2 linked regions of the Sus scrofa genome follow. The protein of the gene in region 2 purifies or fractionates together with the protein of the main gene of each other region. This does not show direct contact. Links are inferred from orthologs where the notes say so. Each region holds a gene or a part of one and is shown on either strand. Other genes may lie near its edges.

What was found.
Region 1: the proteins of PPP3CC (region 2) and RCAN3 purify together in Homo sapiens (affinity purification with mass spectrometry; 3 studies listed by BioGRID and IntAct, counting the BioPlex papers as one, with this or other methods). This does not show direct contact. The link is inferred for Sus scrofa from reciprocal best matches to the Homo sapiens genes PPP3CC and RCAN3.

Annotation. Positions count from the first base shown.
Region 1 is NC_010448.4:82,185,054-82,189,345, reverse strand, and holds the start of RCAN3 (calcipressin-3), read right to left. Parts: upstream 2,879-4,292; 5' UTR 2,767-2,878; intron 1-2,766.
Region 2 is NC_010456.5:6,791,642-6,795,455, reverse strand, and holds part of PPP3CC (serine/threonine-protein phosphatase 2B catalytic subunit gamma isoform), read right to left. Parts: intron 3,464-3,814; coding exon 3,434-3,463; intron 2,316-3,433; coding exon 2,089-2,315; 3' UTR 1-2,088. UniProt on the Homo sapiens protein: Calcium-dependent, calmodulin-stimulated protein phosphatase which plays an essential role in the transduction of intracellular Ca(2+)-mediated signals. Dephosphorylates and activates transcription factor NFATC1.

The sequences.
Region 1 (4,292 bases), on a different chromosome or scaffold from region 2:
TTCTACAAGTGTCCTGCTGAATAACCGTGGAAAACTCATTTGGCTTTTAATACTACGTTTGTTCTCTTACATTTAACAAAAAAAAAAAAAGGAAAATACTCACAGATGCTGTTGAACTACTAAATCCTTTTTAAGGATAAACAAGGTCCTATTGCATGGCACAGGGAATTATATAATCAGTATCCTATAGTACACCATAATGGAAAAGAATATGAAAAAGAATATATATGTATAACTGACACACTTTGCTGTATACTAGAAACTAACATTGTAAATCAGTAAAAAAAAAAAAATTTAATTCACTAATGAAATAATGGGAATGCCGAAAAAAAATTCCTTTTAAAAATTCCTAAATTACAGGAGTTCCCTCACTGTTCAGTGGGTTAAGGACCTAGCATTGTCACTGCTGTGGCTCTGGTTAAGCCTGTGGCACAGGTTTGATCCCTGGCCCAGGAACTTCTGCATGTCAAGAGTGTGGCCAAAAGAAAAACAAAAACAAAACCCCCAAAACTTCTTTTTTATTTTATTATTTATTTTATCACATCTGTAGTTGTATAATGATCATCACAATCCAATTTCACAGGATTTCCATCCCACAACCCCCAAACCTCTAAATTATAAATTTAGACTAAGTTTCTCTTTAAAAACAAAAACAAAAACAAAACAACTCTCAGGATTTTCAATGTGGGGGGTTCCTAATAGGCAGCAAGCCAGCCTCTCTCTCTTCTCCATCCTCCTCATTCACCAGTTACAGGCAGAACCTTAGACTTTTTAGTAGCTGTGGTAAAAGAAAAAAAAAAAAAAAATGGTGCAACCGTAAAGCAAAATAGGTAAAAATTAGATTTTTGAATCTCCTATGTTTCAATGACCTATTCCCTCTTTTCACAGATAATCTAGAATTGGTCCTATTATAATTATTGAGGTTCAGTGAAGTACTTGTCAGCAGAGAGAGAAATAACGAAAACCAACTGTCAGAACACATGAAAACAATAGGTTTTAAAGTATAATTGGGGAGTTCCCGTCGTGGCGCAGTGGTTAACGAATCCGACTAGGAACCATGAGGTTTCGGGTTCGGTCTCTGCCCTTGCTCAGTGGGTTAATGATCTGGCGTTGCCGTGAGCTGTGGTGTAGGTTGCAGACGCGGCTCGGATCCCGAGTTGCTGTGGCTCTGGTGTAGGCCGGTGGCTACAGCTCCGATTCGACCCCTAGCCTGGGAACCTCCATATGCCGTGGGAGCGGCCCAAAGAAATAGCAAAAAGACAAAAAAAAAAAAAAAAAAAAAGTATAATTGAAGTAGAGATATAAAGATTGATGCTATTTGTTTTGCCATAGGTAATTCATTGCCCTTCACTATCATCTCTACATTCTGGAGGAAAAGTGGAGATCCACTGTCTGACCTCCACCTTCTGTGGTCATTTGGGTCTAAATAACAAATGATGTTGAACTTCAGAGCTCCCATTGTCTTACAGGCTTCAGCCTAATGGATTTGCAAATCGTACTGTTTTTCATGATGTTTCACCCAAATTTTTCAACCAACATATACCGGCTAGTACCATACAAAATTTAGACTGATTCATAACCCTTAATGGGCGCATGTTTAAAAGCTTTACAAATGTGACAATTCCATTGTGGGGAAAAATCTTGGGTTTCTGAAAACCACTGGAATCTCTTCAAAGAAAAGATTTCCCAAGTGCTAAAACATAACGCTGACAGCATGGCTAAAGACGGGCCTCTGAGTTTACAGGCCTTTCACCATCCACCTGCATCAAGTCTATGTCTAGAAAAGCAATATAAAATCCCCACCAAAAAGCATGAACTTGTGTTATACCACAAACATCTATATTCTGAGTCTCAATACTGTGTTTTTATAATTTAGTATGCTGAACCGGAGCTAATGGAACAGTCTTAAAATTAATCATTTTAAATCCTATGTAATCAGAGCTACAAATAAGTAAATCGCTTCTCCCATCAAATGGTACATCAGAGACTTGCAGGAAAAGCAGAGACCTCTATTAAAAGTTCAAATAAACGTGGTGTGCTAGGTAACTTTCAAAAAGAGGAAGCGAATACTTTTGGCTTTGAGCACTACACCGAAACATCACTTTTAACAATCCCAGTCTGTATCTGCAACACGGATCTGAACTGCTTCCTACTCTAGACTCCTAATCCCTGAAGGAGACGATCTGATTCTGCACGGAAGCTGGGACGAGGCAACCCGAAAACAGACCACTCTTGCTCCATGGGTCCAGGCAGTAAACGGAGCAGACAGACAAGTTTCAAGAAGTTATCGAATAAGTCATACGATGGTTACCTGGGCATCACGGAGAAAGGAGAGCAAGAAAAAAAAGGAGGGCTTCCAACTTTTGGCCACCCTTGTTTTGTTTTTTGTTTTTTTTTTTTACTGACCGCACCCTTCTGCTTTCAGGAGCAGGTTGGGCCTTCAGCTTTTCAAAAGTCAAACAGGTGTTGGGAGAGAGAACATTTTTCTAGGTTTGTTTTCTAAGACACCACACCAGAGCTGCCAGAGAAGACCCTGGACGCGAGAGGGGCTGAACCTGGGTGGCAAAGGCGCAGCATCTCTGAAGTATGGGGCACAGGAGCGCCCACCCATCCCGGGCACCTGTGGACCGTTTCTTTTTTTTTTTTCTTTCCTTTTTTTTTTTTTTTAACTTTCTGCACGCGATGCCCCCCACCCTCCCCAGTGCCGGCTGCTAAGCCTGCTCGGAGAAGCAGGCGCCGGCCCCACCCTGCGAAGGGGAGACTCACCTGCGCGCATGGCGGGCGCAGGAAGGCAGGAAGGCAGGGAGAGGCCGGACGCGCTGCAAAGTGTCCAAGGAGCCACGAAGGTCCGGTCCTGGGGAGGCGCAGCGGACGCCAGCGGGGTAAGAGTCGGTGCCGCGCCGGCCGCCAGCAGCCTCGCCGCCACGCCCTCGACGCCGGCGGGAGCTGCCGCCTTGGCGGGGGCGCGAGCGGCGTCTAGGCAAGAAAAGCGGCCGGCGCCGCGCCCGCCCGGCTCCGCCCCGCCTCCGCCTCCGCCTCCGGCGAGCCCGCGCAGCGCAGGCGCCCGAGGTCGGCCGCCGGGGGGCGTGCGGGGGCCCAGACGCCGGCAGGAAGCGGCCCCGCCTCTCGCGTGCCGCCGTGGGGCTGGCGGGGGCGGGGGGGGCCGCGGGAGAAGGTCTAGCCGCGCTCGCGCGCGCGCGCGCACTTGGCACGCAGCCTGGGGTTTTCTCTTTACAGGCTTGTGAGGGGCTTGGGCGGTTGTCGTAGGGCGGATTCTTTAGGTGCCCCCGACGACGGGACCTTTGGGTATCTTCTTGTCTTGCGCCATGACTAGAAATAGCTTAGCTCCTTTTCCTGCCTGGCCCCATTGTGTCGTCGCAAGGAGTAGGAATATGAACGTTTACTGAGGGCCAGCTACTATGTACACTGCACCGCGTGCTTTGCAAGATTTACCTCGTTTAACCTCACAGCAACCAGCGAACCGAACGTCATTATCCTCCTTTTATAGATGAGCAGGGCGCCCAAATGCTTAATTGCCCGAGGAGAGGCAGCTAGTTAGGGGGCTGAGCTGTAGGTTGCATCGGAGTGGGTGCTATTCCTTATCCTGGGTCCTGAACCACTACCGGATTTTGCTGCCTCCACCCACCCCTCCTCTTCATCGTTTGTACAATGCTAATAATATTTACATTTCTAATGCTTATTTCCCGTTTGCAGAATAGTTTCAGGGCGGTCTTGCTTGCTTCTCTGAGAAGCCTTGGAAGACAGTAGGGCATAATTATGCCTATTTTACCAACAGAAAGACGAAGGGCCTAAGCTGTTCAATGAGTTGTCCAAAGTTACAGTAGTAGGACTGGGGCTTCCTTTTCTTTTTTAGAAAATTTATTATTATTTTTCTTACAAGGTACCTGAGCCAAGCTTGGAAGGGAGCCTGTGTCCCCTTAGTTCCCGGACAAGGAAACAGAGGCACAGAACAGGAAAGGAATTTGTCTTAAGGGTGTGCATTTAGAAGAAAATCAGCTCTGATCTCTCACACATAGCCCCCTCTGAGGCAAAGTGAAGCAAACTGAAGGTCAATGTCAGTGCTGTCAGGCACTCAGTACCTGGGATCTGGGTCAGGAAGAAGGGTTTAAGTCTGTAAAATACGTCTAATGTCTGTGAGGTTTAGACTAACGAAGCAGTTGCATTACGGTCACTCTTTAGCAGTTGACCTGGCACAGTCACAGAGACAGGTCCAGTGGATCACCCCTCTTGCTTCCTGTTTACTGCTTCTCTTGTTTCTGCTGTTTCCATCT
Region 2 (3,814 bases):
TGCTGAGTGAAGCCCTTAAGAGTGAAGCTCAGGGCTTCTCCTTGTGCGTGTGTATGTACAGCAGTAGCCTCAATGGAAAGAGAAAGGGATCAGGGAGTCCTGTCCGTCAAACCTGTCCCGTGAACTGACCTGCACATTAGTGAGATTTCCAAAGCAGCAGCCGTTTCTGTACTGGGCTTGGGGGAGGGAGGGGTATGAGGATATGCAAGTGATGAATTCCTCTTTGGTTATAAAGAAATGATGGTCAGTAAAGACAACTGCTTGAGACTTTTTCTCCTTTCTTTCAAACGTTTTACTCACACACTGCTAAGAGATCTTCCATCTCCTTCCCAATATCCTACCTTTTTGATTAACAGAACAAACTATGCCACCAGATTCTAATCCCCACATGCTTTGATCTCAGTCATAAACAAATCAGGAATTGTTAGCAAGGCAGAAGGAAACAGAGATAGATGGGCTAAATCATTCTTCTCATGAAATTACGGTTTTGAAAATGGTGTCCATGAAGCTCCAAACATAAATTACTACTTTCTGAGATACTTGCCTCAATGCCGGACACCTGTGCCAAATGACATTAATCCCACAGTATGCACTTTGATGTGGTGTCGCCCAGACATGTACACTCAATGTAAAGCTGACCAATGAGTATTATGACATGGCACTTGTCACCAGGCTAAACCACAAATGGGAGCCTAAGGATCCCTGAAATTTCCTTCACTTTTTTTTGTCTTGTATTTTTAGGGCCACACTCATGGCATATGGAAGTTCCCAGCCCAGGGGCTGACTTGGAGCTACAGGTGCCAGCCTATGCCACAGCCATAGCAACTCCGGATCCAAGCTGTGTCTTCGACCTACACCACAGATCACAGGAACGCCAGATCCTTAATCCACTGAGCAGGCCAGGGATCAAACCCAAGTCCTCATGGATACTAGTCGGGTTTGTTAACCACTGAGCCACGATGGGGTTGATTGTGATTTGAAAAACTAAAGGAAGATTATTCAAATATTGTATCTGAACAATTGTTTCCATATTCCAAAACAGGCTGCCAGAGACTGACACACAATTCAACCTAATGAGTGTTGAGAAATGGAGAAACATCCCAGTAATTAATGGACAGGAAATCCTCACTCATCCAATGCCCTTCAGCAAGACTTCCAGTTGGCAAGGGGACCATTCTAACCTAGTCAGTTTCCATTACCCTAGTTGGTTTCAAAAATGCTGACACAGAAAAACAGATGGATGCTGAGGAGAATAGATGTGGGAGCTGGTGCAGTAACACAGAAGGGTATACACACAGAACGGTCTGACCGTTCAAGGTTCTACACAGGGCATTTATAAAATATTTAGAACTGTTGCTTCCTTTGCAGATGGACTAAGTCACCCAGGGTTCAAAAATAAAAGCAAAAGGATGTGGCAACATTTAAGAAACCTCCAAAGTTCTAAGGGAAGTTTCAATCAATCATGCTCATGGTTAGATGAACAAATTTTAAGTAATTCTAGGAAAACCCCTCATTATTTTTTATTTTGGTGTACTAGAATACAGTCAGAATAACTGAGTCCAGAGAAAAGTGGGTTATTATGGAAAACATTTCCCTTGGCCCTTTAAAATCACTGCATTTGGGTTATTCACTTAGAAGTTCTATAATCAAGTTTTCCGTAAGAAGAGAAATTCTAGCCACTGAAATTTAAGAGATCTTCTTCAGTGGTACCCTATAGAAAGGAAAAAGAAAAAACCCTTCTGTGTTTGAAAAGCGCTTAGTCTGAAATGAAAGATTTTAGCATCCAAAAACAAGAGAAAAGGCTGGCTAGTTGTTCAAGTCAGAAACCCAGGGTGGAGGTTTCCAAGGCCCTTTTATTAGGGGACGGTCCCCTTTATAGCACAAGACTTCACATATGTATCAGGCAATCGGATCAGTTCCTAAAAATCAGGGGGAAAAGGGAAAAACAAAACAGATGCACTTTTTATATATATTCAACATAAATTAAAAGAATTTACAAAACGGTCACCTTTCTTACAGGATAAATGCACCTCCAGGTTTAAGTTGTTTTTGTTTTGTTTCCCAATAATAAATAAGTAAAATGTGTTCTTAAGTTTTGGATCCTCCTGTACCACTGCTGGGCTCCGAGTCATTACTGGCTCTTCTCCCCCTGTCGTTCCTGTGCACGGCGTTTGCTTGGACAGGGGTTACCAATTTCACTGGCCCATCAAAGTATTGGCTATCTTTGCGGGGTGGCATCCGCTCATTAATTCGGTCCAGACCTCGGGCTTCTTCAAAACTGCGGATCCTGTGCTGAAGCGAAAACCCTCTGATGGCTACAGAAAAACAGGAAAAGGAGGAGCTCAATTAGACAGCAAAGGGACTCTAAGTTCTTAGCATACGAACCTCCTAGAGAAAAACATAGAATGGTGGCTGTGGAGCACATGTCTGGTGAAGGAATGGGCAATATTTGATTTCAATTAGCCTTGGCTGAAGCTACTGCTTCCTTAAAGCCCAAAGGGCCACTGAAACTGTCAAAGTAATTTTCACTGAAGCTCAATACAATTAATCACAGCAAAAGTAAACCTGACAAAAAGCCCCAGTACATTTGAAAGCGTCTCTTATGGGCCAGAAACGTGCTCAGTGAGAGAGAAAAAAGGCAACACTAGAACAGTAGAACAAGTCAAGCAGAGTAGTTACTCTAACACAAACATCACATCAACCACACAAAAAAGTAACAAAAGAGCGAATCTGTTTGCTTAGAAGGACAGTGTTTTATCTTGCACAACCAGGAGCTGAACATAAGTTAAAAGCCATCTAAAAGATCAATTCTAGATATTTTCTTTCTGACTGAACTTTTTGTATCACCAAGGAAAGGCATTCGCATTGTGAACCACCTTATCTCACAGAACAATTAAATTGATGACACCAGTTTATGAAGTCCAATGGTTTTTATCCTCAGATTTATAGACAATTTGTTACTTTAAATTTGCTTTCATAGAGACAAAGATAATTTAGTTTGACTGACTTAGGGAAACTTCAGAAACAAATCAAATTCCCATCTACTTTTGTCTCCACTCTTGATATGCTTTGGAATCATTAGATAAAGAGGCGGATGGCTTGAATCTCTGATAACCAAATGGATGCCTCTTGGATGCAGAAGGGCTATGAGATGATATCACTTGACCCCTCATGACCAGCTGCTTAAGCTTCAGCCCTTGCATTAAAACTGATAGGGCCCAGAAAGGCCTTTAGCTGTGGAGAGGGTCATTTAAATTAATACAAATACACGACACGAAGGAAACACTTTGTGAGCATGCCTGGAGATATCTATTCCTATCCTCACTGTTACAGTTCTGGTGATGCAATAATAAAAGATTTCAACTGTTGACAAAGCTTTTTAAAACTAGTAGACAGACACATGATCACATCTATCAGAGGAATATGGCCATACCTTCCCGGGCCTCTACCGCTTCTACTGTGGCTGTAAGAGGCAGGAGCAGTGGCATGCAAAAATGAAGACAGAAAAAGAGTGAGTAAACCAACAGCACTGCTGCCAGCACAGATATCCCAAGGTCCCACCTTATGGCCTATTCACTTCCACAATAAAAGTCAACTAGTTAGAGAAGCGAGAGGATCACTTAAAAAACTAAATGGGGCGGGGAGTATGAAGTGTGGAGTTTCTATTATTTTTAACATTGTAAGTGGCATGAGAACCTTTTAGCTAATGGCATCCATAGCTAAGACAATGGGGACTAGAGGAAACCAAGAGCTATGTCGCTTTCCTTATTTTAAATAGCCAGCTGCTAATTTACAACCTGGCATTCACATGTCA